Macaca fascicularis: one gene and its partners. Each later gene encodes a partner of the first gene's protein in a complex. Links are inferred from orthologs where the notes say so. Each region holds a gene or a part of one and is shown in the gene's direction. Other genes may lie near its edges. The genes, in order: TBP, GTF2B, TAF1D, transcription initiation factor TFIID subunit 13, TAF12, TAF11 and TAF4.

Evidence for each region.
Region 2: TBP (region 1) and GTF2B share a complex: the UniProt entries of both Homo sapiens proteins name them as parts of the TFIID-containing RNA polymerase II pre-initiation complex. The link is inferred for Macaca fascicularis from reciprocal best matches to the Homo sapiens genes TBP and GTF2B.
Region 3: TBP (region 1) and TAF1D share a complex: the UniProt entries of both Homo sapiens proteins name them as parts of the transcription factor SL1/TIF-IB complex. The link is inferred for Macaca fascicularis from reciprocal best matches to the Homo sapiens genes TBP and TAF1D.
Region 4: TBP (region 1) and transcription initiation factor TFIID subunit 13 share a complex: the UniProt entries of both Homo sapiens proteins name them as parts of the TFIID basal transcription factor complex. The link is inferred for Macaca fascicularis from reciprocal best matches to the Homo sapiens genes TBP and TAF13.
Region 5: TBP (region 1) and TAF12 share a complex: the UniProt entries of both Homo sapiens proteins name them as parts of the TFIID basal transcription factor complex. The link is inferred for Macaca fascicularis from reciprocal best matches to the Homo sapiens genes TBP and TAF12.
Region 6: TBP (region 1) and TAF11 share a complex: the UniProt entries of both Homo sapiens proteins name them as parts of the TFIID basal transcription factor complex. The link is inferred for Macaca fascicularis from reciprocal best matches to the Homo sapiens genes TBP and TAF11.
Region 7: TBP (region 1) and TAF4 share a complex: the UniProt entries of both Homo sapiens proteins name them as parts of the TFIID basal transcription factor complex. The link is inferred for Macaca fascicularis from reciprocal best matches to the Homo sapiens genes TBP and TAF4.

Annotation. Positions count from the first base shown.
Region 1 is NC_088378.1:506,202-509,701, reverse strand, and holds part of TBP (TATA-box-binding protein), read left to right. Parts: intron 1-895; coding exon 896-1,299; intron 1,300-3,500. UniProt on the Homo sapiens protein: The TFIID basal transcription factor complex plays a major role in the initiation of RNA polymerase II (Pol II)-dependent transcription.
Region 2 is NC_088375.1:145,835,540-145,839,793, forward strand, and holds the end of GTF2B (transcription initiation factor IIB), read left to right. Parts: intron 1-3,337; coding exon 3,338-3,471; 3' UTR 3,472-3,754; downstream 3,755-4,254. UniProt on the Homo sapiens protein: General transcription factor that plays a role in transcription initiation by RNA polymerase II (Pol II). Involved in the pre-initiation complex (PIC) formation and Pol II recruitment at promoter DNA.
Region 3 is NC_088388.1:92,775,366-92,779,607, reverse strand, and holds the start of TAF1D (TATA box-binding protein-associated factor RNA polymerase I subunit D), read left to right. Parts: upstream 1-1,442; 5' UTR 1,443-1,653; intron 1,654-2,381; exon of another isoform or gene 2,382-2,457; intron 2,458-3,608; 5' UTR 3,609-3,634; coding exon 3,635-3,702; intron 3,703-4,242. UniProt on the Homo sapiens protein: Component of the transcription factor SL1/TIF-IB complex, which is involved in the assembly of the PIC (preinitiation complex) during RNA polymerase I-dependent transcription.
Region 4 is NC_088375.1:125,372,382-125,376,578, forward strand, and holds the start of transcription initiation factor TFIID subunit 13, read left to right. Parts: upstream 1-1,397; 5' UTR 1,398-1,459; coding exon 1,460-1,486; exon of another isoform or gene 1,487-1,660; coding exon of another isoform or gene 1,661-1,661; intron 1,662-2,248; exon of another isoform or gene 2,249-2,346; coding exon 2,347-2,425; intron 2,426-4,197. UniProt on the Homo sapiens protein: The TFIID basal transcription factor complex plays a major role in the initiation of RNA polymerase II (Pol II)-dependent transcription.
Region 5 is NC_088375.1:206,387,807-206,392,069, forward strand, and holds the start of TAF12 (transcription initiation factor TFIID subunit 12), read left to right. Parts: upstream 1-1,463; 5' UTR 1,464-1,646; exon of another isoform or gene 1,647-1,911; intron 1,912-4,263. UniProt on the Homo sapiens protein: The TFIID basal transcription factor complex plays a major role in the initiation of RNA polymerase II (Pol II)-dependent transcription.
Region 6 is NC_088378.1:136,805,552-136,809,589, forward strand, and holds the start of TAF11 (transcription initiation factor TFIID subunit 11), read left to right. Parts: upstream 1-1,238; 5' UTR 1,239-1,323; coding exon 1,324-1,494; intron 1,495-4,038. UniProt on the Homo sapiens protein: The TFIID basal transcription factor complex plays a major role in the initiation of RNA polymerase II (Pol II)-dependent transcription.
Region 7 is NC_088384.1:118,113,312-118,117,477, reverse strand, and holds the start of TAF4 (transcription initiation factor TFIID subunit 4), read left to right. Parts: upstream 1-1,366; 5' UTR 1,367-1,433; coding exon 1,434-2,793; intron 2,794-4,166. UniProt on the Homo sapiens protein: The TFIID basal transcription factor complex plays a major role in the initiation of RNA polymerase II (Pol II)-dependent transcription.

The DNA of each region.
Region 1 (3,500 bases):
GTAGTTGAGAAAGCAGCAGCAGCGTTTGAGAGGACTGACTCCAGTTTTGAACTACGTTCTAGCGTGGGTAAAACGCTGTCAAACAGCGTCGTGTGCTACAGAGACATCTCAGTGAAAGGAAGAGTCAGTCCTTGTGGCAAACTTCGTCAGTCTTATTTTAAGAAATGGCCACAGCTACCACCCTGATCAGTCAGCAGCTGTCAGCATCGAGGCAAGATCCTCTATCAGCAAAAAGATTATGACTTGCTGCAGGCTCACAGGATTGTTAGCATTTTTAGCAATAAAGCATTTTAAAATTAAGGTATATACATATTATTAGACATAATGCTATTGCACACTTAATAGACTATAGTGTAAACATAACTTTTGTAGACACTGGGAAACCAAAAAATTCATGCTGCTTGCTTCATTGAGATGGTCTGGAACCTAACCCATAGTATCTCTGAGGTATGCCTGTATCTTCATTTGTAATATGCCCTTCACATCTTTTGTCCTTTTTCATTATTTTATTTGTTGATCTTTTTTTATGGAGTTGTCAGAGCTCTTTATTATTCTGTTTACCAGTCCTTTCTCAGATGTATGTATTATAGGTATTTTTTTCCCAATCTGTGGCCTGCCTTTTAATTTTCTCAATGGTGTCTTTCAGAGAACAGAAGTTTTTAATTTTTCCAAAGTTCAGTTTATCCATTTTTCTTCATGTTTATCCACTGTGTGGTATTAAAGAAGAAAGCAATGTGTATAAGAATAGCTGGTTCTTCCGTAATTAAAGATTAATAACCCCATTATTCTCAGAGGGCGTCTGTCTTTGCACATCTCACCTGCTGTTCCACCAAGAAACTTCCACAAACACTCAGCAGCAGCCAGCCTAACCTGTTTTTCTCCTTGCTTTCCACAGGGTGCCATGACTCCCGGAATCCCTATCTTTAGTCCAATGATGCCTTATGGCACTGGACTGACCCCACAGCCTATTCAGAACACCAATAGTCTGTCTATTTTGGAAGAGCAACAAAGGCAGCAGCAGCAACAACAGCAGCAGCAGCAGCAACAACAGCAACAACAGCAGCAGCAGCAGCAGCAGCAGCAACAGGCAGTGGCCGCTGCAGCCGTTCAGCAGTCAACATCCCAGCAGACAACACAGGGAACCTCAGGCCAGGCACCACAGCTCTTCCACTCACAGACTCTCACAACTGCACCCTTGCCGGGCACCACTCCACTGTATCCCTCCCCCGTGACCCCCATGACCCCCATCACTCCTGCCACTCCGGCTTCGGAGAGTTCTGGGATTGTACCGCAGCTGCAGTGAGTACTTGGTGTTTTATGTTTCCTCCCACTTAGGAGTCCCTTTGAGTTGTGTTCCTGCTCTGTTTTCTGATGGATCCTTTTATTAAGGGAGGGAATGGCACTAACAGCAATTGTGTATCAAAATTTGCTTTATCTCACACTTGGGAAAGGGAAGCAAAGCCATCTTAGTCAGTGCCCTCAGTAAAAGGTTCTTAACAGGTTTAGGAATGTGGTCATTTGTGTTTATATACCTGAGCCAATAAAATTTAATGTGATTTTCACTGTCATTATTATTATATTATAGACATTTCCCTGTATCTGATATCGCCAAATCACAATGTTATGTAGTCTCTTTCCCTTATGCTATTTTAGGTCTTTAGTCACAGTATCAGTATAATTTCTGGCAGTTCTTGTTTTTTATTTTTACTGTGGGGACTGCATATGAATCTTTGAAGGTCTGTGTCCTTCCCACAAAATGAGGATGACTGTTCTTGTCCTAAATGGATTTTTCTACCTAAGTGAAGTGGGTTCTATATGTAACAGGGTATTAGGGATAGGAAATAATTTCATCTTCCTGAAAAAACAACAAATATTTCCAAATAATCCCCGTCAATAAGAAGCGTGCAGCTTTTCATGTTAGAAAGCTTATGACCAAATTAAAAGGTTACTTGCAGTCTCTGCATCTCCTCAGTTTTCTTGTACAGATACCTTCCTCCTTCATACTCCCTTTAGATCTAGTATTTCCTATTTGCATTTATTCACCTTGCTACATATATGGTTGTTGTTTATAAGCTATCTCTGATCATTTTTGGAACTTAGTGGTGTGTAATCGTGGATGCTGACTTTTACCCAAAGACCTAAATCTTGCCTCTACAATTTTGTTTGACCCCACACACAATTTTAAAAACAAAGTAATTTTAGTGATTTTAGAGACAGCCCTTTTTAGCTCACCCTTGTCTGTACCGCTCCCATGTGTCCAGCATGCTTGTCGGACTCCCAGGAAAATTTAAGTTTGCATTTCTGATTTAAATAATAAAGTATAAACAGTACAGTCAGGTGTTTGTTTCTTGCCGTGCCTTTGTTGTTCTGATACTCCCGAGAGCATCCAGTCATCCACGTCCCTGAGCTGCTCTCTACTAAGAACCCTCCTGCGTGGTAATTCAGTGCCCTCTCAGTCTTGTAGGCTTAAGAGGGATTAAGGCAAATATTTCATGAATGAAAACATATAAGAATACATTTAACAATTATGTGATGAAAGTTGTGATAGATGTACTAAAATCTACTTGATATAGTTCATCAGTGGACAAATGCTAAAGCCAGGTGTGTATACAACGGTGATTGGAAGGAAAGAGATGATATGGAAATGAAAACATTGTGTGGATCAACCTAATTGGCTTTACGGTTGTGTATCATAGACTGCCATTCTCTTTTGAACAAAATTATGAGCCATCAAGTTTTCAAAAGTTTTGCATTTTGACAGTATAAGAAAAAGAACCAGAAGCAACAGTGAGCTATAACCTATTGTATTTGAACCTATGTATTTGAAATCTGGACTCTATATTCTTGGGATGGTGATTGCCAGGTCCATGCAAGACACTTGTTGCGCAGTTAATTGCATTCAAAGGACATTGCCCATTTCAAGTATATGTACTTTATTTATTTATTTATTTATTTATTTATTTAAGACGGAGTCTCGCTCTGTCGCCCAGGTTGGAGTGCAGTGGTGTGATCTCAGCTCACTGCAAACTCCACCTCCTGGGTTCACGCCATTCTCCTGCCTCAGCCTCCTGAGCAGCTGGGACTACAGGCTCCCGCCACCATGCTCGGCTAATTTTTTTGTATTTTTAGTAGAGACGGGGTTTCACCGTGTTAGCCAGGATGGTCTCGATCTCCTGACCTCGTGATCCGCCCACCTCAGCCTCCCAAAGTGCTGGGATTACAGGCGTGAGCCACTGTGCCTGGCCAAGTATATATACTTTCATAAGCAGAAAAAATGTATAATGAAAATGTAGGTTTTTGTTTAAATTTTTATTAAAACTTCTAATAGAGTTGCTTTTTAGTATATCTTTATCCTTGTATAAGTTATTTATTAAGTGATGTAAGAACACTGAGAAATGTAAAGGGTCAGTGGACCCAGATGGCTCCGTTTATCCTTATTTACTGAGAGATAATTAGAAGAGAAAGCAGGGTTTTGCCTTTTTTTTTTTTTTTTTTGCTAA
Region 2 (4,254 bases), on another chromosome or scaffold:
CCCTGTAAACCTAATTTTTTTCCCATTTGAATTATTTTAGTTTGTACATCTTTTATTCTTACAAGTTCTTTTTTCTCCCTAAATATATCCTCTTGATCATACTCTTTTCCTCCCCAAACTTACGTTTTTAAATCTTAGGGGTCAGGGAGGCATGCTTTGTTTCTCACTGCTTGGCATGGGATCCTGCAGATAGACACGCTGTAAAATATGTGTTGGCCATCAGCCTTTAACATTCTCTTAAGGTTGGTTTTTTCCCATCTTGTACAGTATTTTACAGTTTCTTAATACAAATTCTGAAGTAAGTAGACATAAGTGGTTCAGCCTTCTAAAACCATGTTTAAATTTAGTGTTGTAGGAAAACTTTCACCAGAAGTATTAAGTGAATTTCTTTTCCTTTTTCCTTTTTTTTTTTGAAACGGTCTCCCTCTGTTGCCCAGGCTGGAGTGCAGTGGCACAATCTCAGCTCACTGCAGCTTCCACCTCCTGGGTTTAAGCTATTCTCGTGCCTCAGCTTTCTGAGTAACTGGGACTACAGCCACGTGCCACCACGCCCAGCTAATATTTGTATTTTTAGTAGAGATGGGGTTTCACCACGTTGGGCAGGCTTGTCTCGAACTCCTGGCCTTATGTGATTCGCCTGCCTCTGCCTCCCAGTGTGCTGGGATTATAGGCACAAGCCACCACGCATGGCCCACTAACTCCCTTTTAAATTTAGAAGTGACTACTCCTTTCTAAATCTTTGAGGATTATAGAAGTTATTCATAAACAAATGCATGTAAAGAAATTCATAAACTAGGTGCGGTGACCAGCCTCCTGGCCAACATGGCAAAACCCTGTCTCTACTAAAAATACAAAAAAATTAGTCAGGTGTGGTGGCACACATCTGTAATCCCATCTAGTAGGGAGGCTGAGGCAGGAGAATCACTTGAACCCAGGAGGCAGAGGTTATAGTGAGCTGAGATCATGCCACTGCCCTCCAGCCTGGGTTGATGGAGTGAGGCTCTTTTTCAAAAAAAAAAAAAAGGTGGCAGGGCGTGGTGGCTCACAAGTAATCCCAGCAGTTTGGGGGAGGCCAAGGTGAGTGGATTGCTTGAGGCCAGGAGTTGAAGACCACCCTGGCCAACATGGCAAAAAGCCTGTCTCTACTAAAAACACAAAAATCAGCCCAGCATGGTAGTGCACACCTGTAGTCCCAGCTACTTGGGAGGCTGAGACATGAGAATCTCTTGAACCTGGGAGGCAGAGGTTGCTGTGAGTCTAGATTGCACCACTGTACTCCAGCCTGGGAGACAGAACAGGACTGTCTCAAAAAACAAACAGAAAGTGAGTTAGTGAATTACTGGCCTCAATAACTTTGTAATACTCTATTCACAACAGCCTTCAGCTTAGGCTATATGTTGAAAAAATAATAAATGATAGGAATAATTAGAAAGAGGAAGCCAATCATTAGTTATTTAAAGGAGCCATTATCCATTCCCTTTGGCCTTCACTTAGTTTTAAGGAAATTTTGAGTCTTTTAGTAAAATTGAGAAGTTGCAGTTAGGCAGTTTGTCCTTGAGGTACATTTCTAGTTGTAAAGTTTATTCTAATGAACAACATGGAAACATTAATCTTGGTGCTTTCTGCTTTTTAGCTTTATATGAAAAGTCGTCTTCAAATGTAAGGTCCTTCTCTTCCCTGCACAGCAGGCAGTTGATATTCAAATAGTTGCCATTTATTGGTATTTAGATGTAGAATAATGTAATGCAGTGTGAGATAAGGAAATTTAAAATTAGCTAATTGTACAGTGATGGCAGGCATTCACAGTGAAAATCACTAAAACCTCACTGATTTGAATCAACTGTGAAAAGGTGATAAAATGAGTTTGTATTAAAAGATGTTTAGGCCAGGCATGGTGGCTCATGCCTGTAATCCCAGCACTTTGGGAGGCCGAGGCAGGTGGATCACCTGAGGTGAGGAGTTTGAGACCAGCCTGGGCAGCATGGTGAAACCCCGCCTCTACTAAAAATACAGAAATTAGCTGGGCGTGGTGGCAGGTGCCTCAGCTACTCAGGAGACTGAGACAGGAGAATCGCTTGAACCAGGGAGGCAGAAGTTGTAGTGAGCCGAGATCTTGCCGTTGCACTCCAGCCTGGGTGACAGAGCAAGATTCCTTCTTTAAATATATAAGTGATGTTTAAAAATCCATTTTAATAAAGCATTCATAATACTTAACCAAATATTGTAGTGGCAGTCCTTTGGTATTTCTTTTAATGACTTTGAAAGGAAAAAAGGGACAGTGACTTTAAAGGGTAAAAGTGGATCTATTAGGATTTTGTAATAGACTAGAAATGTTCGTTTGAGCTAATAATATTTGCTTATGTGCTTGTATCAGTGAAAAGCATCTCCGTATGCTATAAGTAGCTGTTTGACCTCGATGTATTAAGTAGAAAAAAAGACTGTAGAACAATATTTACAGTGTAACATTTTGTTTTTAATAGGGACCTCTTAACAGAAGTTAGCTAGAGGAGATTTTGCATGGGAACTTTCAAACACAGAAATAAAAAGTGAATTTCTTTACAAGAATGTATTTGTGGAGTACTTTGTGATCATCAGAAAGATTTATAAAGAAAAAGGAGCAGTCAGTTGTAAATACGATACCCAGTATAATAAGATAACACTCCTAATACTAAGTCCTGAACCCTGTTCATATATTTTATATTAAACTCCTTAAAACATTGACAGCTCTGTAAGGTAGTAACTACTGCTATCATTTTTATTGTTGTTGGTTACTGACTTTAGCTCCCGCTTTTTTTTTTTTTGAGTCAATATTTGGTTAAGCATTATGAATGCTTTATTAAAATGGATTTTTAAACATTTATTTATTTATTTATTTAGAGATGGAATCTTGCTCTGTCACCAGGCTGGAGTGCAGTAGCACGATCTCGGCTCACTGCAACCTCCCCCTCCCGGGTTCAAGCAATTCTCCTGCCTCAGCCTCCTGAGTAGCTGGGACTACAGGCGCCCGCCACCACGCCTGGCTAATTTTTTGTATTTTTAGTAGAGATGGGGTTTCACCATGTTGGCCAGGCTGGTCTTGATTTCCTGACCTAGTGATCTGCCCAACTCGGCCTCCCCAAGTGCTGGGATTACAGGCGTGAGCCACTGTGTCTGGCCTAGCTGCTGCTTTCTACCTTTTAGTATGTATTTCCATTATCAGTTTTTAGAAATCACTTCTGGTTTTGTTTTTAAGTTTGGCGCTTTATACTGTATAATCATATCTCACAAATGACAATGCAGGTAGTAGAAAGGAGGTAGGATGGAAATGACGGTTAATGTTTTGATTTTTGTCTTTTAGAAATTGGCGATATTGCTGGTGTTGCTGATGTTACAATCAGACAGTCCTATAGACTTATCTATCCTCGAGCCCCGGATCTGTTTCCTACAGACTTCAAATTTGACACCCCAGTGGACAAACTACCACAGCTATAAATTGAGGCAGCTAACGTCAAATTCTTGAATACAGAACTTTGCCTGTTGTACATAGCCTATACAAAATGCTGGGTTGAGCCTTTCATGAGGAAAAACAACAGACATGGTACGCATTCCAGGGCTGAATACTATTGCTTGGCATTCTGTATGTATATATACCAGTGAAACATATTTAATGATTTAAATTTCTTATCAAATTTCTTTTGTAGCAATCTAGGAAACTGTATTTTGGAAGATATTTGAAATTATGTAATTCTTGAATAAAACATTTTTCAAAACTAAAGTTTTTGTTATAATTATATGTTACATTTAACTTATACATAATTATAAATAATGCAAATCATTGCAGCTAATAAAGCTTTATTTCCATTACTTATATATACATAGTTTTTTATTTTAATAAATTCATGGAAAGAGCAAAAGCTTTTGAGAACCATTGTTAACATCCACATCGTATTTAGTGTCCAGTTTGAAAGGATTCATATGTGAGATTTATTAATATGTCTATTAAACAAGAAGTGATGAGCTTGGACCTTTTGAAAGGCACCAGCTTGACAGACATTAAAATGTTCTAAGTATGTGATTTTCTCAGTGAACTTACTGAGCAGAGAAGATGATGCTGGTAAATTAATAGCAGCAGCAGATCAATAGATTTTAATTTCTGGATGTTAAAATCTCATGTTGTAGAATCTGCATATCCCTGGTTCTTTTTTATTCTTTGTTAGGCTTACTGGTATACTCACAGACTAAAGAGCATTTCATTTATTATCTATTATTTTTTGA
Region 3 (4,242 bases), on another chromosome or scaffold:
TACCACTTTTCCCCTTCTTTTTGGACAAGGGACGCTGCATTTACATTTTGCATTGAGCCTCACAAATTACAGAGCTAGGCTTGCTGCTGAATATGGCAGTGAGGGACATGCCATACCAGTCCTGGAGCTTAGTCACTGCCCAGCCCCTGTGGATCAAATGCAGTGTCAGACTTTTTATCCCCGAAATTGTCCAATCTATGGAGCAAAGGAGGGTAAAGAGACCAGATTACTTTTAAGGCACGCGCTATCCTAAAATGATGTAAACTATAAAATAAGATTAGACAGCTTTACTGGTTTTTGCGGTGTATCATATGAAAACAGAAGTTTGAAACCAGAAAAATCAAACCAGTTCAATCCTTTTAAAAATTTCTTTGGGAGGCCGGTGGCTCACGCCTGTAATCCCAGCACTTTGGGAGGCCGAGGCGGGTGGATCACCTGAGGTCAGGAGTTCGAGACCAGCCTGACCAACATGGAGAAACCCCGTGTCTCCTAAAAGTACAAAAAAATTAGCAGGGCATGGTGGCACATGCCTGTAATCTCAGCTACTTGGGAGGCTGAGGCAGGAGAATCGCTTGAACCCGGGAAGCGGAGCTTGCGGTGAGCCAAGATCGCGCCATTGCACTCCAGCCTGGGCAACAAGAGCGAAACTCGGTCTCAAAAAAACCCCAAAAAACCGAAAAACAAAAAAAAAAAACAAAAAACTTTCGAAGAAAAAAACCCCACCAAAACTAAACTAGTTTACACAGCTTAATCTTAACTCAGGAACTGGTCAAGGAACTAATGGTGGGGGGCGGGGGGGATGTAGGAGGAAACTGAGGAAAAAGAAATCCTCCACAGGTCTCACTTGTGACGTGTTAGCCAATTCCTGGGAGGCAGAAAGGGTGAGCTCCCGAAACAGGTGCAAAGGTGGGGAGGAGACCTGGGCGTGCTACGGCATAACACTGGCGTCCAGCACAAAGGTTACAAACTTCGAGTAACCTTCCCGAATATTTTCACACACAAGGGTTTTGAAGGCAAAAGTAGACACAGGATGACAAAACACTCATTCACACATCCCACCCGTCACCCTCACCACATACTCGGGACCAGGTTTAGAAAGCCGGGAGACAGCTCAGCAAACGCGAGACCACCGGAAACGACCCGGGCTGAGAGGCTGTTTCCTCGCAGTTCTCATCCACTCACAATTGGCCGCACATTTTCTTTTTGTTATTTGCCGAAATGTTCTTGGCTATTCCACTTACCGAATCGGTCACGCAAGCAAAACACCAGAATCCCGATCTCCGCCTACGCCAACCCCGCCTCCTCAGAGTAAGCGAGCTACAGCTCCGCCCACGTTAGTCGCTCCTCCCTGCGCGGCGAGAAAAATGGCGCCCCCGCGTCGCGACTCCTCCCACCGCTCGCCTTCTTCCCGGGAGCTAAATTGTATCGCGAGATTTCTGCCTGACTATTACTTGGGCCGCGGGGATATCCCACCCTTTTCTTCCGCGCGGTTGGAGGACATCGGCTAGTTTTCCGGAGTTGGAGGACTGAAATCGGGAGGGTGGTGTGTGCAAATCTCCAGGACTCACGCACCAGGCCAGTCGCAGGTTTTGGCCCGAGGCCTGGGTTACGGGCAGCAAGTGCGCGGTTGGGGCCGGTGTGAGGCGGTTTTAGGTAGGTTGCCAAGAGGGCAAGGCCGTCTGGGCTTGTTGGGCAGGGGAGGCATTGCATATCTGGGGTTTCGGCCCCTGCGTTGTTCCGGAGGATTGAGCCTCGGAAGTCGGGCCGAGAGGGTGAAGGGATCACGGTTGCAGGCCACTCCGCGCCACGCGGCTGGTATGAGGCCCACAAACGTGGTTGTAGTGTGGGCGGGCTTCATTATATCTTGAGATGGAGGTGTTAAAACGTGTTGCAGACAAGTTTAACCTTCTTAACGTAATTTAAATGATTTAACCTTCATATGTGAGGTACCCATTGATAGCGCCGGTTTCCTGGAGGTTAGGCGCTGCCCGGAGAGACGCGCTGGTGGTCACAGAATTAGCTCCGGGTAAAGCGCCGCTTTCTGCCCACGTGGCCTCTAAGAATTGCAGAATTCCAGCGGATGCATCGACACCCAAGTAGGAGTGTCTTCTAAACACTAAGAAAAAAGTGATTCTTGAGCTAGCTTTATTTTGATAATCCCTACTTTAAAAAAAAATTAACCACAGGTATACCATTAATGCATGGGGCCAAATTTTTGTTGAATTCCGTTTTTGAGCATTCGATATATAATGACTTCGTAGAATCCTGTACTTAAGCTAATAAGACGTACTACCAGAAAATTACCACAGGGGTCCATTGGGCATTTAACAAATCTGAGCTCTTGGTAACCTTATCGTTTTATATTTTAAATGTTTTGCTAGTTCATCCTAGGATTTATATGCAATGACTCATGTTAGGTCCCAAGAAGCTACAGAATGAGACAAGAGATTGACTAAGGCAAGTACAATAGTGAAATAAGTAGTTATCCTTCATTTTTGTTGCCATGCCTATTTTTTTTTTTTTTTTTTTTTTTTTCTGAGACAGGGTCTTGTTCTGTCGTCCAGGCTGGGGTGCAGTGGTGCAATCTCGGCTCACTGCAACCTCCACCTCTGCTCAAGCGATCCTCCCGAGTGGCTGGGAGCACAGGCACGGGTCACCACACCTAGCCAGTATCTTAAGAATTTTTTGTAGAGACAAGGGTCTCCTTGTGTGCTGAGGCTCACTACATACAACTTCCACCTCCCAGGCTCAGGTATTCACCTACCTCAGCCTCCTGACCACAGGCGCGCGCCACTAGCCCGGCTAATTTTTGTATTTTTTGTAGAGACGGAGTTTCACCACGTTGCCCAGGTTGGTCTTGAGCTCCTGGGCTCGAGCGATCCGCCCGCCTCGACCTCCCAAAGTGCTGTGTTACACAGGCCTGAGCCACCCAGACCAACCTGTTTTTTCTTTTAGCTCACAAGAAGGAATCTTTTTTTTCTTCTTTTTTTGGCATGTTGTATACTCTACCATGGGGATGAAAACACAAAGAATTATGATAGTTTATTGAAAAAGGTTGAGAATTCAGAACTTGTCAGTTTCCACCAATAATGGCAAAGATACAGTATGACAAAGTTCAGTTACTTAAATGAATCTAGGAATGAAGAATCTAGGAATTATAATGGAGAGGTGATCAGGGTCTGTTGATTGGAGATCCTTTTCCTGGTTTATATAGGGCACATTTTGCCTTAGGAATTCCCTCTTTGATCTTGGAAAATGGTTTTTAATTTTACATTAATACTGTATTGGTAATTGCACGTTAGTAAGTGGCTAATGATAAAACTGTATTTTCTACTTATATTGAAAGATGCTTTTTTTGGAAGTGACAGTACTTTTTTGGAATCTTGTTCCATTGAATACATTTAGAGGGTAAAAACTGAAAGAACCTGTGAATAGAATTTCTGGATTTCTTTTTAAAGAAATTGATCTGAAATGGATAAGAAGGTTAACCCCGGCAAATGATTTTGCCTAAAATCAGTGGCATAGTCTGACCATGTTGAATATTATAGTAGATACTGTGTCAATATTTAGGGAAGCTTTGTCACATTTACTAAATTTCATAATTTCAGAAAACTGTTATAAAACAAAGCAATTGATGGATAAATCAGGAATAGATTCTACCGACCATGTGACATCTGATGCTATGGAACTTGCAAATCAAAGGTAAGTGGGTTTTTACTGGAGAACTGAGTGGATTCAATCATATTTATTGTATCTGAATTATGAGAAATTATTTTATATAATGAGTGACAGTAAAGATGATTTTCAGGAATTGGGAAAGAAGGAAAACCAGATTTCACTGACCTTCCAGGTTTATCTAGTTAATGTAGATTGATAATAGCATTGCAAATACTTTAAATTCAAAATGTGAATATATTATAATGGGACACATTCTTCAAGAAAAAAATGTATTCTTTGGGTCATATTAGCATCTCTTCCAGACTACCTCTTCCTGTTTCTGTCTGGTAGGCTGTGTTTGTTTTACTCACTCTTAGCAGTGAACCAAACCATACAGCCTTTGTGGAGCTCATACACCATACAGCCTTTGTGGAGCCATACGTTATCTTAAAAGATACATAGTTTTTTGCTAAGCTGAGCACAGTGGTGCATGCCATTAGTCCTAGCTAGCTACTTGGGAGGCTGAGTCAGGAGCATCCCTGGAGTTCCAGGAGTTTGAGGTTGCAGTGAGCTGTGATTGCACCA
Region 4 (4,197 bases), on another chromosome or scaffold:
CGGATCTCAGCTCACTGCAAGCTCCGCCTCCCGGGTTCACGCCATTCTCCTGCCTCAGCCTCCCGAGTAGCTGGGACTACAGGCGCCCGCCACCTCGCCCGGCTAGTTTTTTGTATTTCTTAGTAGAGACGGGGTTTCACCGTGTTATCCAGGATGGTCTCGATCTCCTGACCTCGTGATCCACCCGTCTCGGCCTCCCAAAGTGCTGGGATTACAGGCTTGAGCCACCGCGCCCAGCCGCTTTGTGTTTATTAACAAAGATAGGTTCAAGCCTCACATAACTACTTTTCACTCACCGAATGTTCAGCAGGACATTCAGAAATCGTGTGTATTGCGGGATTTTCTTTATGTAGCATCATCTGTTACACTGTAGGACACATATTTTATATCCCTAGCTCTGGCCTTCCAATGCCTGTGGTTTTCCCAACCATTGTTCCGACCAAAAGCCTTCCCCAATGGACACGGTGGCTCACACTTGTAATCCCAGCACTTTGGGAGGCCGAGGGGGGCAGATCGCTTGAGATCAAGAGTTCCAGACCAGCCTGGGTGATGTGGCGAAACCCCATATCTACTAAAAATACAAAAATTAGCCGAGCATAGGTGGTGTGTGCCTGTAATCCCAGCTACTTGGAGGCTGAGGTGGGAGGATGGCTTGAGCCCAGCAGGTCTAAGCTGCAGTGAACCCGGATTGTGCCACTTCACTCCAGCCTGGGGGACAGTGAGGCTGCGTCTCAAAAAAAAAAAAAAAAAACCAAAAATGAGGCCGGGCATGGTGGTGCACGCCTGTAATCCCAGCTACTCGGGAGGCTGAGGCAGAAGAATCGCTTGAACCCGATAGGCGGACGTTGCAGTGGGCCGGGATTTCGCCACCGCACACTCCAGCCTGGGCGACAGAGTGAGACTTGGTCTCAAAAAAAAAAAAAAAAAAAAAAAACACACACACACAAAAACAAACCTTCACAAAATTTTAAATGCTTAGTTTTGGGACACCATCTCTTGGAAATTTGTGGTGAAGCACAGTATCCCCAGTAATTAACATAGTGCTTAGAAACAGTGGAACCACAACTCTTTAAAATGATTTAAAAGCATTTATGTCAGATAAAGGACCGCTGGCTAGCCCTCCTACGATCCATAGCTTCGCAGTCCCCAAACAGGAAGGCGTGATTCAATGCGCAGTAGCAAATTTAGGGTGACAACGAGATACATCCCACGGAGCCCGTGATTTCCTTTTCTTTGTTAGTTTTCAATTCCTTCAGTGTTACAGGGAGGAGCTCCGGCCTCCTCCGCTAAAGACTGTCGCATTTCCGCCGCTAGGCCGGAAAGCACCACCGTCCTTCCGCAGGCCTCAGTCAGCTAGGCCCAGCTCCAGCCCCGCCCGTCACCGGAAGTGAGGCGACGGAAGTAGCGTAACCCGCTGAGAACCAGCCGGCGGGGCGCTGTGGGTTGGCGGGCTAGTGGGATGGCAGATGAGGAAGAAGACCCCACCGTGAGTGACCGTCTGTGTCCAGAACCTCTCTTTTCTTCACTCCTTCGGGCTCAGTAGCGGAGGCAGAGTTCAGGATCGGATCTGCTTGCCTTAGTCAATTCAGCCGACAGAATTCGGGGACTTCACTCCCTAAGGATTGATCATTTTAGAAAGTGGGGAAGGACATGAAGAAAGAGTAGGTTTTGTGACCCCTTTCCCCTTGATTTTGATCTTTATTTGCCAGACACTGAAACACTTACAGAATCATCAGACGTCAAAACTAACATCTATTAGCGCTCACTATGAACCAACAGTTCAATTGTTAACAAAACTGTACTTACTGTGAAGTAATGGGAAAAGAATGCATTGAAAGTCAGACAGCCTGGATTTCAAAATCTCCATTCTCTCTAAGCAAGTTATTTAACTTTGACAATCAGTTTTCTTGTTACAAAATAGGGTTACGGGCTTACTTAAGGAACGTTTTTAGCACCGTATATGCAAATGCTTAGTAAATATTAGTTTTGCTTAATTGAAAGTCTACAAAGGTAGACTTTGATTCAGTATCAACTGTTTAACAGTAGCAATAGGCCACCTTAGTTGTTTAAAAATAAAACCTATGGTCATTGTAACTCTTACACGTAGAAGCAGTAGGATTATTTGTTAGGAACATTGTAGAAGCCATTTTTGGATGAGTTGGAAATTGGACTCGATACCTAGGCTGCTTACGTGCTAAGGTTTTGTGTTTTTTTTTTTTTTTTTTTTTTTTTTTTCTGCTTCCTTTAGGCTTTCTGGCCTATCTGTTGAAAAGGAAAAAACATTGTTATTATTAAAATATCAAATGCAAGGCAATTATTTGACATTTCTATATATACGTTTTCTAGTTTGAGGAAGAAAATGAAGAAATTGGAGGAGGTGCAGAAGGTGGACAGGGTAAAAGAAAGAGGCTTTTTTCTAAAGAATGTAAGTAGTATTTGACAATGATTTTGTTATAGATGATGAAAACTTTTGGACATATCCTTTCCAAGTACATTTATTGCTTTGAATGTTTCCCTGTAGTGACAATATTCTCAGACTAGCCTATCAAATTCTGTTTAGCTTTTGAATCAGATAGTACCAATCCTAACCCCAGTTATATGTGTGTGTATGTGTGTCTGTGTATAAATTGCTTTTTAGGTGAGCAAATGTAGTTCGTGTTTTAATTTAGGGCAGAAGAACATACCTCCATTAGTTTTCCTCTTGCCTTTGCAGCAGTAGAAAGAGAGGCTTCTTTGACTGTAAGCCACAGATACTAATGGATCCTGCACCAGGTGTTGAGGGAGAGTAGCAAGTGAGTTGGGGCTTGGGCTTTGGACTAAGGCTATGAACAAAGTAAGAAGGTGGTGAACAGCTGGGTGTAGTGGCTCACGCCTGTAATCCGAGCACTTTGGGAGGCTGAGGCAGGTGGATCACTGGAGGTCAGGAGTTTGAGACCAGCCTGGCCAATGTGATGAAACCCCATCTCTACTAAAAATACAAAAATTAGCCAGACGTGCTCGCTTGAACTCAGGAGGGAGAAGTTGCAGTGAGCCAAGATTATGCCACTGCACTCCAGCCTGGGTAACACAGCAAGACTCTGTCTCAAAAAAAAAGAAGAAGGTGGTGAATAGTGTAAGACATTAGAGTGACATGGAGGCTAGATGCAGTGGCTCACGTCTGTAATCCCAGCACTTTGGGAGGTCAAGGCAAGCAGATCGCTTGAGCCCAGGAGGTCAAGACCAGTCTGGGCGACATAGTGAAACCCTCTCTCTACAAAAAATACAAAAATTAGTAGGGCATGGTGGCACGCCCCTGTAGTTCCAGCTACTCTGGAGGCTGAGGTGAGAGGATGGCTTGGGCCCAGGAGGTGGAGGTTGCAGTAAACCCAGATTGCGCCACTGCACTCCAGCCTTGGTGACGGAACCAGACCCTGTGTCCAAAATAAATAAATAAATAAGCAAAATAAATAATGACATGGAGATTATAATGTATTGATTCTGCATCCTACCCCCTCAGTAGATGCTTTTGACCCTTTTTGGCAACAAGAGGAAGGGAGAGCTGCTGCTACTACTGATGGTACAGGCCAAGCCCTGGAACACAGCATGAGAATGTGCTCTCCATCTCCAGTCCTGGGTCCTTTATGTAAAGTTATATCTAAGTATTGAGAGATGAGGCAACACAGATTTATGAATATGGTTTATTTAGGCGGGGTTATATGTGAGCAGTTCCCAAATGCCCTTGAAACTACAGGGTCAGTATATCTTTTTTTTTTTTTTGCAATTAACTGGGCATGGTGGCGTGTACCTATAGCCCCAGCTATTCAGGAGGCTGAGGTGGGAGGATCACTTGTGCCCAGGAGTTCAAGGTTGCAGTGAGCTGTGATCATGCCACTGTACTCTAGCCCCAGTGATAGAAGAGTGAGACCCTGTCTCGCCACCAGCCCCAGCTAATTTTTTGTATTTTTAGTAGAAACGGGTTTCCCCATGTCAGCCAGGGTGGTCTCAAACTCATGACCCAGATGATCTGCCTAACTCGGCCTCCCAAAGTGCTGGGATTACAGGCCTGAGCCACCATGACCAGCCATACCCAGCTAATTTTTGTATTTTCAGTAGAGACTAGTTACACCATGTTGGCCAGGCTGGTCTCAAACTCCTACCCTCAAGTGATCCTCCTGCCTCAGCCTCCCAAACTGCTGGGGTTACAGGCATGAGCCACCA
Region 5 (4,263 bases), on another chromosome or scaffold:
GGGCAGGATGCTGCACCAATCTGGGCACCTTTCCTAATTTCTGCTGGCAGATACTGTGGCTCACACTGGCCTGTCACAGCTTTTTTTTTTTTTTGAGATGGAGTCTCGCTCTGTAGCCCAGGCTGGAGTGCAGTGGCCGGATCTCAGCTCACTGCAAGCTCCGCCTCCCGGGTTTATGCCATTCTCCTGCCTCAGCCTCCCGAGTAGCTGGGATTACAGGCGCCCACCACCTCGCCCGGCTAGTTTTTTTATGTATTTTTAGTAGAGACGGGGTTTCACCGTGTTCGCCAGGATGGTCTCAATCTCCTGACCTTGTGATCCGCCCGTCTCGGCCTCCCAAAGTGCTGGGATTACAGGCTTGAGCCACCGCGCCCGGCCCACAGCTCTTTATACATTTTTTGGTGTGTTTGTGGGTTCTTCTCCATTTTACTGTGAACCTTACAGATGCTGGAACTGGGTCTGACTTGCATACCTAACATTCCAGCATACAGTAAAAAATAACAGTTCTCTCTTTTTTTTTTTGAGACAGAGTCTCGCTCTGTCACCCAGGCCGGAGTGCAGTGGCGCGATCTCGGCTCACTGCAACCTCCGCCCCTCCAGGTTTAAGCAGTTCTCTGCTTCAGCCTCCGGAGTAGCGATTACAGACGCGTGCCACCACGCCCGGCTAATTGTTTTGTATTTTTAGTAGAGACGGGGTTTCACCATCTTGGCAAGGCTGGTCTTGAACTCCTGACCTCGTGATCCACCCGCCTCGGCCTCCCAAAGTGCTGGGATCACAGGCGTGAGCCACATAAAAGCAATTCTCACCAAGCATTTGACAGCAAAAAACTGTCCTGTAGAGAATGCTACAGGATAGGCTTTGGCTTAGTAGTGAGGTCTGAGTTCAAGCTGAGGCTCTGCACTTATTAGCTAGAATTTTGCTTAATCTCTCACAGGTCTCCTCTAACTGATTAAATGGCGTAACGGAGGTAAGCCGATTAGCACAATTCCTGGCAAACAGTCAGCAGTCAATTGTTATTACTGAATTGCCAGTTCACAGGCACAACCAACCGATCTGTCTCATCTCCCGGTTCCTGTGTTGCCAACTTCCTCGTTGAGGTTCAACAGGATACCTGTGGGGTAATGTGTCCCAGATGATATCCTGGTCCTGACACCATGACAAAGGCACCAACCAAAAATGGCGACCTCAAAGCCATCCGAGGGCGTCAATTACCCGTCATGCTACCGATGGATAAATAAGCAGAGTCGGGAAGAAAAGCTAGTGAAGGATTCTTAACGCCGGGGTGGAATACGCAGAGCTCGCTCATGCTGCCACTCAACTACAAGCAGTTAAAAGCGCAAGCTGCAGGCTACAGCTACACACAGCTCAAGATCGCCACCACGTGTCGGAGGGCAGTCTGCGCCTGCGCAAGCGAGGCGCGCGCCCGCCGGCCGGAAGAGCCGCGCGTTTCCGGGTTGGAGGCGGGGAGCGGTGCCGGAAGTAGTCGGGGAGGGCCGCGCAGTCGGACCGGCTGCTGAGACGAACGCTTCTCTGGGGCAGTCTCCGCATATCATGGGGAGATAGACGCTGCTGCCTGTGAGTCTTGGGCCCTGGCAGTTGAGGAACAAGAGCGGGAGGAGGGAGTCAGGACCCAGATCTACAGTAGGTCAGTGTTCGAAGGACCAGGTTGTGGACGAGACGGGGCTGTGAGGATTCAGGCTCTTGGGAAGGGACTGACAGAGGATCAGGCTCGGAGAAGACGCGGCTGTGGGGACCTGGGCTCCAAGACGGGACTTAGGGAACGGGGACGGATCTGAGTTCTCCGGCATCTGAGGGAAAGTGGTCTGAGAGGAGCAGGATTATGAGGACCCGCACTCCTACGAGGAGAGGGTCGGAAAGGAACGGGGTGTGAAGACACGGGCTCCGGAGAGGTAAAAGTGGAGCGGTGAGGACTTGGGCTTCTAAGAGGCAGAAGCGGGACAGTGAAGACCCGGCCTCCTAAGGATTCAGAAACGGGGCAGCGAAGACTCAGGTTCCTGAGGGGCAGAAGCAGACAGAGAAAACTTGAGTTTGGAAGGGAACAGAAGCGGGCAGTGAAGACTGGGGCTTCTTTGGGGACGGGATCCGGGCTTTGAGACTCCGAGTACCTGAGTCTCAGAACAGGGCGGTGAGGACCCAAGCTCCTAAAAGCCTTGGATCTAAGGGACCATGGATGTGAGATCAGCCTAGAAAGTAAAGGGAAAGGGTTTGGAAAATATTTAGTGATCCATTTTTTTTTCCACAGTATTCCCTGAACCCAGAGAGATAAAGGACGTATTCAGGGGAAGACAACTTCTCCTTCGCACTGCCTGCTTGGCTCTTGGCAGGCTTTTCTTGTGTTAGATACTCAATCTAGGAAGCCCACATGCAAACATCTTCATTTTCTGCTTCATTCTTGGGAATCAGATGTGAAGTTGAAAACAGTTGGAACTCAGTTATATACTTGATAAGTGCTTTAAATCCCATTCCACTCAACCCTGAATGAGCACAGATCTCTGCATCTCAAGTAAAAGAATGTCAGTGATGGAAGAGTCCCAAAAGATCATCTTTTAAAAACTCCTATTTTACATTTAAGGAGGCTAAGGTTCAAAGAGGTTTAGGATTACAGTGAGGCAATGGTTAGATCATAATTTTAATACAGTACCCTTCTGTGCGTAGCAAATGAGATGCTTGGTTAATGTTCCTTAAATGCTTCCAGAATCTTTGCTTTATCTTCAAACTCAGGAGGGAATTTTTTTTTTTTTTTTTTTTTTTTTTTTTTTTTTTTTTGAGACAGGTTCTCTCTCTGTTGCCCAGGCTGAAGTGCAGTGGCTCAATCTTGGCACCATGCACGTCAACCTCCTAGGCTCAAGCAATCTTCCCACCTATATATACCTCCTGAGTAGCTGGAACTACAGGCATGTGCCTCCACACCCTGCTAATTTTTAAATTTTTTGTAGAAACAGGATCTCACTATGTTGCCCAGGCTGGTCTCAAACTCCTAGGCTCAAGTGATCCTCCCACCTTGGTCTCCCAGAGTGCTGGGATTGCAGGCATGAGTCACTTCCCCCCGCTTCCAGTTTTCTTTTTTTGAGACAGAGTCACCCAGGCTGGCGTGCAGTGGCACGATCTCAGCTCACTGCAATCTCTGCTTCCCCGGTTCAAAAGATTCTCCTGCCTCAGCCTCTCAAGTAGCTGGAATTACAGGTGTGTGCTACAATGCCCAGCTAATTTTTGTATTTTTAGTAGAGACAGGGTTTTACCATGTTGGCCAGGCTGGTTTCGAACTCCTGACCTAAAGTGATCTGCCCACCTCAGCCTCCCGAAGTGCTGGGATTATAGACATGAGCCACCACGCCTGGCCCAGTTTTTATTTCCAGTAAAAACTGGAAATTTTTACAGTTTCTGATACTTTGAGTGTTATTACTGCATTGACATTGATACAGTAAATGTCACTTAATAGTAAGGAAACCTTTATTTTTATTTTTATATTTTTGAGACAGGGTCTTGTTTTGTTGCCCATATTGGAGTGCAGTGGCATCATCATAGCTCACTGCAACCTATATTCTTGAGCTCAAGCACTCCTCCTGCCTCAGCCTCCTGGGTAGCTGGGACTACAGGTATGAGCCACTACACCCAGCTAATTTTTAAGTTTTTTTGTAGAGACGGTGTTTGGCTGTGTTGCCTAGGCTGGTGTTGAATTCTTGTCCTCAAGTGATTCTCCCACCTTGATATCCCAGAATGTTGGGATTATAGGCATGAGCCACTGCACCTGGCTGGAACCTTTAAATAAAGCTCAGTGTTATTTATTTATTTATTTAATAAGCTGTTTGGAAAGCCATAAATAAGTGTGTCCTGCATTTTTAGTGCAAACATTTACTAGGGATGGCTGCTTTTGGATAAGAATGGTGGGGAGACTTGCACCAGTCACTTACTTCAATATTAATATCTTTTTCTGAAACCTACTCAGACTAACCAGGCACAGCTTAGGTACTTTTGAGTATTCTATGATTTAATTATCACAGCCCCACAAGTTAGATATTGTCAGTCTCGTTGTACAGATAATGAAATAGGTTTAGAGAGGTTAAATACTTTGCCTGGGCCGGGCGCGGTGGCTCAAGCCTGTAATCCCAGCACTTTGGGAGGCCGAGACGGGCAGATCACGAGGTCAGGAGATCGAGAGACGATCCCGGCTAACACGGTGAAACCCCGTCTCTACTAAAAAATACAAAAAAATAGCCGGGCGAGGTGGCGGGCGCCTGTAG
Region 6 (4,038 bases), about 140 Mb from region 1:
CTTTTCTCCACGAGCGCGTCACTTCCGGGATCCGGCGTCACGCGTCACCGCGCCCCCGCGCCCCGCCCCCTAGCTCACCTAGCTGGGCGGGGCTCCGCGGACCAGCGCAGGTGGATTTTGCTGTGCCGAGACAGGCCTCACGGGTTATGGGGACAGCGCCTTGTGGGTCCCCATTATATAGGTGGAAAGGGACAAACAGGCCCACCTGTACGCGCCTCCCGAAGTGCGCTCCTTCCCTAAACGTTTTGGGAGCTCCTGGGACAGGAAATACGGCAATTCGTCCAGGCAGCGCAGAAACAAAGAGATAAATATGGTAACGCGCACCTACATTTCCAAGGACATTCTTTAAGCACGCATAAATTAAATATGTAATAGGTGCTGGGACCTAGTCATACCCAGGTGAATAAAACGCCCTCCCCCTCGTATCTCTATGAGGGAAGAGAAGAAAATTTTAAAATAGAAATATCCTCACCACTTCATCCTCCCAGTACATGAACTAGTTCGTTAAAGTGAAACGTTCGAAGGAGACACCTTCCTCTCTTTAGGCTTTCCTCTTAGTTTTGGTAAGATTAACCAAAATGATAGAAAAGTGTCAGACTTGTAGAAACAAACCTCAATCTTGAATACTTGCGAACTGAAAAAAAATCATTTAATTGGATAGAAACTATGTGTGTTTTGTTCCCTGGTACTAGCACTGTTTCTAAATCGAAGTACGCAGTCAATAGTTGTGGATGAATAAATGAATTGGATAAATTCTGCTCAAGCTAGATGACTTTTTGTTGTTAAGGTGCTTGCTGAATGGAGCGGAAATGCTAGCAATTCCACGTACACACAGACCCGCGGTTTCGGGCCAGTTGAAATACACAAGGTTGAGTCTTGCCTGAAAGTTTACCAATCCCGGGTAGCCTCATTCCACGACACCGCCATACAACGGAACTGAGTTTTCTCCCGATCCCCCAACTTTACTCTGAGGGGTTAACGAAGGGATTAACTGGTATTGAATTTTTAGACAGGCGAAAAGGAAAAAGTTATTTAGTAAACAAAACTGCGCTCCTTCACAAGTGCTGGTTTCCTAGCTAGGAGGATCCATAGTCTGAGCTCTTTACGTCCAATTTTCCCGCTTCCCACTGTCGCCAAACCAAAGTTAAAATGAGTCCTCTAGTCCTCTACGCGCGCCTCAAAATGACCCCTCAGGAGAGCGGTAGGGGTGATGTCATCGCTGCGCGACGACAGGAAGTAAGATACTGTCCTGTGCAGCTCGGGGTTCCGAGCTTCTGCCTCAGACATCGCCGCGATCTCCTCTCCCCTCCAATCCTATCCGTGATGGACGATGCCCGCGAGTCGCCCTCCGACAAAGGTGGAGAGACAGGGGAGTCGGATGAGACGGCCGCTGCGTCCGGGGACCCGGGGGCTACCGACACGGATGGAATCCCAGAGGAAACTGACGGAGACGCAGATGCGGACTTGAAAGAAGCTGCAGCGGAGGAAGGCGAGGTAGGAAGAGATGTATCGATGAGGCTGAAGGAATACCCAGAGATCGTGTTACTGGGTGCTTGCCGGGCTTCTGGTTAGTCCCTCCCAAGTTACGAGAACTCGAACTCACCAGAACTCCCTCCAGATCGTTAATCTTGAGGGGGAAGAGAGCGGACGACCAAACAGAACTCCAGTGCTGGTTCCGTTCCAGAGGCTCAAGCACTGCGTTAATATTTTTAGTCTTGTCAAGGGATTAAAGCTACTTCTAAGGGAGTTTTAATAGCCTATTGGCTTTAGTGGTGAGGAAACTGGGATCCAGTGTCACACTGAGACGCAGTGCAAGAGCTAAAACCCAGGATTCGTAGCACCCCTTTCACCGCAATATGGTTCGTCTTAGATGTTAAGACAACTTTGTTTCTTTATAGGAAGGAGGGTCGATCAAACCTGTCAAAGGGAGATAGACTTTTATAAAAGTGTCGCCCGGGCTGTAGTACAATGGCGCGATCTCTGGCTCACTGCAACCTCCGCCTCCCGGGTTCACGCGATTCTCTTGCTTCAGCCTCCCAAGTAGCTGGGATTACAGGCTCACACCACCATGCCCGGCTAATTTTTGTATTTTTATTAGAGACGGGGTTTTACCATGTTGGCCAGGCTGGTCTCGAACCCCTGACCTCGTGATCCGTCCGCCTCGGCCTCCCAAAGTGCTGGGATTACAGGTGTGAGCCACAGCACCCGGTGATCAGGGACCCATCAGTTGGGTCTGGTGTTTTTATGCTACAGAGAGTTCAGCAGTGTTGCCTAGCTGAACATTGGTCAGGACCAGAAACTCATCGTTCTCTGGATTACATTTCTGGAAGTAGAATCTTGGGGTCTTAGAGCTAGAAGGGATTTAAGAGATCGTGGGGTGAACAGTAGATTAGATGGAAATAGCCTTTCAGTGTATAAAGTTGCATAAAAATATATAAAGTAAGAACTTTTAGAAAAAGAGAAAATTTGGCCGGGTGCAGTGGCTCACGCCTGTAATCTTTGGGAGGCGGAGGTGGGTGGATCGCCTGAGGTCAGGAGATCCCCAATATGGGGAAACCCTGTCTCTACTAAAAATACAAAAATTAGCTGGGCATGGTGGCAGGCGCCTGTAATCCCGGCTACTTAGGAGGCTGAGGCACAAGAATCGCTTGAACCTGGGAGGCAGAGGTTGCAGTGAGCCGAGATCGCACCACTGCACACCAGCTTGGGTGCCAGAGTGAAACTCCGTCTCGAAAAAAAGAAAAAGAGAACATTTGACAAAAGTATTTTAAGGCAGGTTTCTTTTTTTGTTTTTGTTTTTGTTTTTGAGACTGAGTACTCGCTCTGTCACCCAGGCTGGAATGTGCAGTGGCGCGATCTCGGCTCACTGCAAGCTCCTTTAAGGCAGTTTTTGTTGGTTTGTTGAGACAAGGTCTCACTCTGTCACCCAGCCTGGAGTGCAGTGGCACAGTCTCTGCCTCCTGGGCTCAAGCAACCCTCTTATCTCAGCCTCCGCAGTAACTGGGATTGCAAGCATACTGCACCACGCTCAGCTGAAGTTTTTGTATTGTTTTGTTTTGTTTTGTTTCGTTTTTGAGACGGAGTCTCGCTCTGTTGCCCAGGCTGGAGTGCAATGGCGCAATCTCGGCCTACTGCAACCTCCGCCTCCCAGGCTCAAGTGATTCTCCTGCCTCAGCCTCCCCAGTAACTGGGATTACAGGCACGTGCCACTGTGCCCAGCTAATTTTTGTATTTTTAGTAGAGCCAAGGTTTCACCAAGTTGCGCAGGCTGGTCTTGAACTCCTGACGTCATGATCCATCTGCCTCAGCCTCCCAAAGTTCTGGGATTATAGGCATGAGCCACCGCACCTGGCCAGCTAAAGGTTTTTTAAATATTGTTTTGGTAGAGACAAGGTCTCATTATATTGCCCAGTCTGGTCTCCAACTCACTGGGCTGAAGTAATCCTTCCGCCTCAGCCTCCCAAAGTGCTAAGATTACAGGTGGGAGCCACCATGCCTGGCCAAGAAGGAAACTTTAAAACAGGTGTCAAGGACAGCAAGGATTTGAATAATTAGCTTGGTACACTAGAGAGCTCACTACATATATAAATTTGCACCGAACAGAGGATAAAATTATGTTGTTTCTGAAACACTTTTAAAAATCAATCATGTACTAGACCATGAAGAAAAATATGAATTCTTAAAAGTAGATATCATAACAGGCCACATCTTGTTAATGCAATGCATTAAACTTGAAATTAACTACAAAAAGCTTCTCCCCCACCAAAAAAGAACCCCCTGGAAATTTTAAACTATTTTTTAAATAGCCTTTAGACTAAAGAAATTAACAGAACACTTTATCAAATGATATGGGATTTGGCCAAAGCTTTATTTAAAGAAAAATGTATAGCCTTACATATTTTTATTAACAACCAGAAGATACTGCAAATAAGCACCTGACTCAAGAGACCAGATAAAGGGCCTAGTGGAGTAGGTCACACCTACAGACCTAGCTACCTGGCAGGCTGACACGGGAGGATCACTTGAGGCTGCAGTGAG
Region 7 (4,166 bases), on another chromosome or scaffold:
TCGAGAAACAAGCCTGGGGTGAAGTCCCGTATTCCAGCTGTCTCAGTCAGTCCATTCCCTTGCGAGGCTGCAATTCGAACAGGCACAAGGGTCCAGTTCGGGTCTGCTGTTGAGACTAGCAGTCTCCTTTGCTACAACAATTAAAAAAATCATTTTCTATGTCAGCAACGTCATTCATCGTCCCGAGGTCTCTGCTTATTGCGGCGCTGTCTTCAGCTGCGAAGACTGATCCTGCGGCCTCTTGTCCCCAGTGAGGTCCGAGGCAAGGAAGCGTCTCTCTGAAACCTATTCTGGGCTCTTAGAAAGAAATGGGAGAAAGGAAAACCACTAGAAATGTCCAATAACACCATCTTTTGGTTGGAAAATAAAACACGCAGAAAGAGAGAACTGGAACTTTTACTGAAGTATTTCTAGAGAGAAGGTGCTTGGGAACATTTTAGGTAACTTACTCCCCTCCCCCAGCAGAACGTAAAAAGAAAGCTACTTCCAGATTTGCCAGCTCGGGAACTTCGTTTGGCGCCTGGCAGGCACCGTGCTCTTACCTACGGGCTTATAATGACACTCCCGTCTCCAAGGCAGCTAGGTGCGGGTACAGTCACCCCGGGGCGGCTTAGTTTATTGATTAAAAATGGAGGGAAGGGCCAGGGGTGGTCACGATTGGAGGGCGAGAAGAGCCGTGCGCGCAGGACCCCTCCCCACCGCCCGGGACCGGCTACCCAGGGGCGGACCCAGCTTCCTTCCCCGCGGCGGCTTGGAGGGGCCGGGCGCCGGTCCCCGTCCTCAGGGCGCGCTGCGAGAGCCCCGTCCCCGTCCCCGCCTGCTTCTCGGGCCCATCCACTCCGGGGCCTGCGCGCTGCCCGGCCGGCGCCCCGGCATCCCCGCGCGCTGCTCCCCGGGCCTCGGACGGGCCCTGCACCTCCGCTGCTACCGCACAGGGCGGCCCGCCCGGCGTTCCCGTCAGCGCCGCCGCAGCCATTTTGGAGCGAGCGGAGACAAAGAGCGAAGCCCCGTCGCCGCCCCGCGCTCGCCTCGGCCCGGCCCGGCGCACCGTCCCCGCATCCCGCGCCCCGCCCGGCGGCCACCGCCCCGCCCTGCCCGCCACCGCCCCGGCTCCCGCGTCCCCGAGCACCAGCCCCCGCGCTTCCCGCCGCTGCTACCGCGCCCAGGCCGACCGCCCGCGCCCCGGCCTCTAGCGCTCGCAGCCATTGGCCGCGCCTTTTAAGCGCGCACCGCAGCCAATCGCCGGGCGCCCGCGGTCTCCGCGCCTGCGCAGGAGCGCCACCCCGCGCCCCCGCCCCCCGGCCGCGCGCCCCCGCCCCCCGCCGGCCGCGCGCCGCCCCCCGCCCGCCCAGCGCCCGCCCCACTCGGAACCTCCTCCTCGCCCAGGCGCGCTCGGCCCGAGCGGCGGCGGCGGCGGCGGCCGAGGAAAAAAGATGGCGGCGGGCTCGGATCTGCTGGACGAGGTCTTCTTCAACAGCGAGGTGGACGAGAAAGTGGTGAGCGACCTGGTGGGCTCGCTCGAGTCGCAGCTGGCGGCCAGCGCGGCCCACCACCACCACCTCGCGCCGCGCACGCCCGAGGTGCGGGCCGCGGCCGCCGGCGCGCTCGGGAACCATGTTGTGAGCGGCAGCCCGGCCGGAGCCGCGGGCGCAGGGCCGGCCGCCCCCGCCGAGGGCGCGCCCGGAGCGGCGCCGGAGCCGCCCCCCGCAGGTAGAGCGCGGCCGGGGGGCGGGGGGCCGCGGCGCCCGGGCCCCCCCTCACCGCGCCGCCCCCTTGTCCCCGCAGGGCCCGCGCCGCCTGCCGCGAAGCTGAGGCCGCCGCCCGAGGGCAGCGCGGGGGCCTGCGCCCCGGTGCCCGCCGCCGCCGCCGTCGCCGCGGGGCCCGAGCCCGCCCCCGCCGGCCCCGCCAAGCCCGCCGGCCCCACCGCGCTGGCCGCCCGCGCCGGCCCCGGCCCCGGCCCCGGGCCCGGGCCCGGCCCCGGCCCTGGCCCTGGCAAGCCCGCCGGCCCCGGCGCCGCGCAAACTTTGAATGGGAGCGCCGCGCTGCTGAACTCGCACCACGCCGCCGCACCTGCTGTCAGCCTGGTCAACAACGGGCCCGCCGCGCTGCTGCCGCTGCCCAAGCCCGCCGCCCCCGGCACTGTCATCCAGACGCCCCCCTTCGTGGGCGCCGCCGCGCCCCCCGCGCCCGCCGCGCCCTCGCCCCCCGCCGCCCCCGCGCCCGCCGCCCCCGCCGCCGCCCCGCCCCCGCCACCCCCCGCGCCCGCCACCCTGGCGCGGCCGCCCGGCCACCCTGCCGGACCCCCGACCGCCGCGCCCGCTGCGCCGCCCCCTGCCGCAGCCCAGAACGGGGGCAGCGCCGGGGCAGCCCCCGCCCCCGCCCCGGCCGCCGGGGGCCCCGCGGGGGTCAGCGGCCAGCCCGGGCCTGGCGCGGCGGCTGCAGCGCCAGCGCCGGGGGTCAAGGCCGAGTCGCCCAAGACGGTGGTGCAGGCGGCGCCCCCGGCGGCGCAGACCCTGGCGGCCAGCGGCCCGGCCAGCACGGCTGCCAGCATGGTCATCGGGCCAACTATGCAAGGGGCGCTGCCCAGCCCCGCCGCCGTCCCACCGCCCGCCCCCGGGACCCCCACCGGGCTGCCCAAAGGCGCGGCCGGCGCAGTGACCCAGAGCCTGCCCCGGACGCCCACGGCCACCACCAGCGGGATCCGGGCCACCCTGACGCCCACCGTGCTGGCCCCCCGCCTGCCGCAGCCGCCTCAGAACCCGACCAACATCCAGAACTTCCAGCTGCCCCCAGGTGAGTGGCCGCACGGGGCGGGAGGGAAGGGCGGGTCCCAGCAGCGCCAGCTGCCAGTTCCAGGAAGTTCTCCGCTGGTGGAATGCTAAGGTCATCTGTCCCGTAGGCCCGTGGCTGGAGCAGGCCGAGGGGCAGCCTCTACCCAGGTGCGGGGCCAGCCCGGGTGGCTGCCTGCGAGTGAGCCAGAGGGAGTCGGCATAGTCTGCGTCCCTGTCGCTGTTCCAGACGTCCGCGGTGGCTGCCTGTGGCTGGGGCTGGTCTGTTTCGGAGTGGCTCAGCCAGGACTCCTACTGGAGCGGTCCTTACCTGCTCCCGCCCTGTGTGCCCCTGCCCCGGTTGGAAGGCTCAGCGCAGGGGCTCCCTGGGCCAGGCGATGGGGTCTGCAGAGCTGAGGGCAGAACCTGGAGGTGCGAGTGGCAGCAACTGTCCCCTGCTCAGTTCTGCAGTTAGGCGTGTGGCCTGTGTCCCCACTTAGCCTTTCTACCCCTTTGTGACCCTGGGCTTGAGCCTCCCCAGTCTCCAGGCGAGGACGGGGGCACGACACCCCCTCCTCGAGGCTCGGGAAGTCGGGATGGAAGGCTTGGGCTTCCCTGTTGGCCACCAGGAAGGCAGAGATGTCGGGCGCACCCTGCGAGAGTCCTCCAGGCGCGCAGCCTTGCTGAGAGCCATGCTCTGGAGTAGGGTTTCAGCACCGTGTGTGTCACCGTCTCTTCCAGCGCTGCGTTGGTGCCTAAAGGAAAGAGCGCCCAGCTAGTCTGGTTGCTGCCCCCTCGGGAGGGCAGTGGGAGGGCGGTGGCAGCAGATGCTCTCACTCCGTGCAGGGGTCTCGGGGTAATACTGGCTGTGCTGCGGATGCCTTGGGCTCAGACGCCCCTTCTGCCTGGCAGTACTCACGCTCTTGGTCTAGTCTGCTGTCTCTGCGACTCTTCAGGGCCCCTCAAGTTTGACGGGAAAGATTGCCTGACCAGCATTGCACGCTAGGCTGCTTTTGTCTGGGGCTCCCCATCCCTCCCCAGCCGCCTTGGTGGGTGCTGGGCAGGGGAGCTCCTCCCCGGCCTGTGGTGACGCGCGCCATGCAGTTGTAGCAGCTCGGTGGCAGCAGTAGTAGGAACTTCGAGGAGAGCGTGGGTCTTTTCTGTGTCCCCTCTCTGAAGGGAGCTATTGGTCACTTTGAGAGGTTTGCAGCATCTTCAGAAGTGAAAGGTTTTCCTGTCCGAGTATGTGAAGTTCAGGGCTGGTGGTCAGACTGGACAGGGCGGGGGTAGGGAGAGTCTGTCTGGGAGACCGCTAGGCTGCAGTGCTCCAGGGAGGAAGAGGGCTGAGAAGCCACTTCTCCGGGGTTGCTGAGACGCCCGTTGTGACAAGCTGTTGGA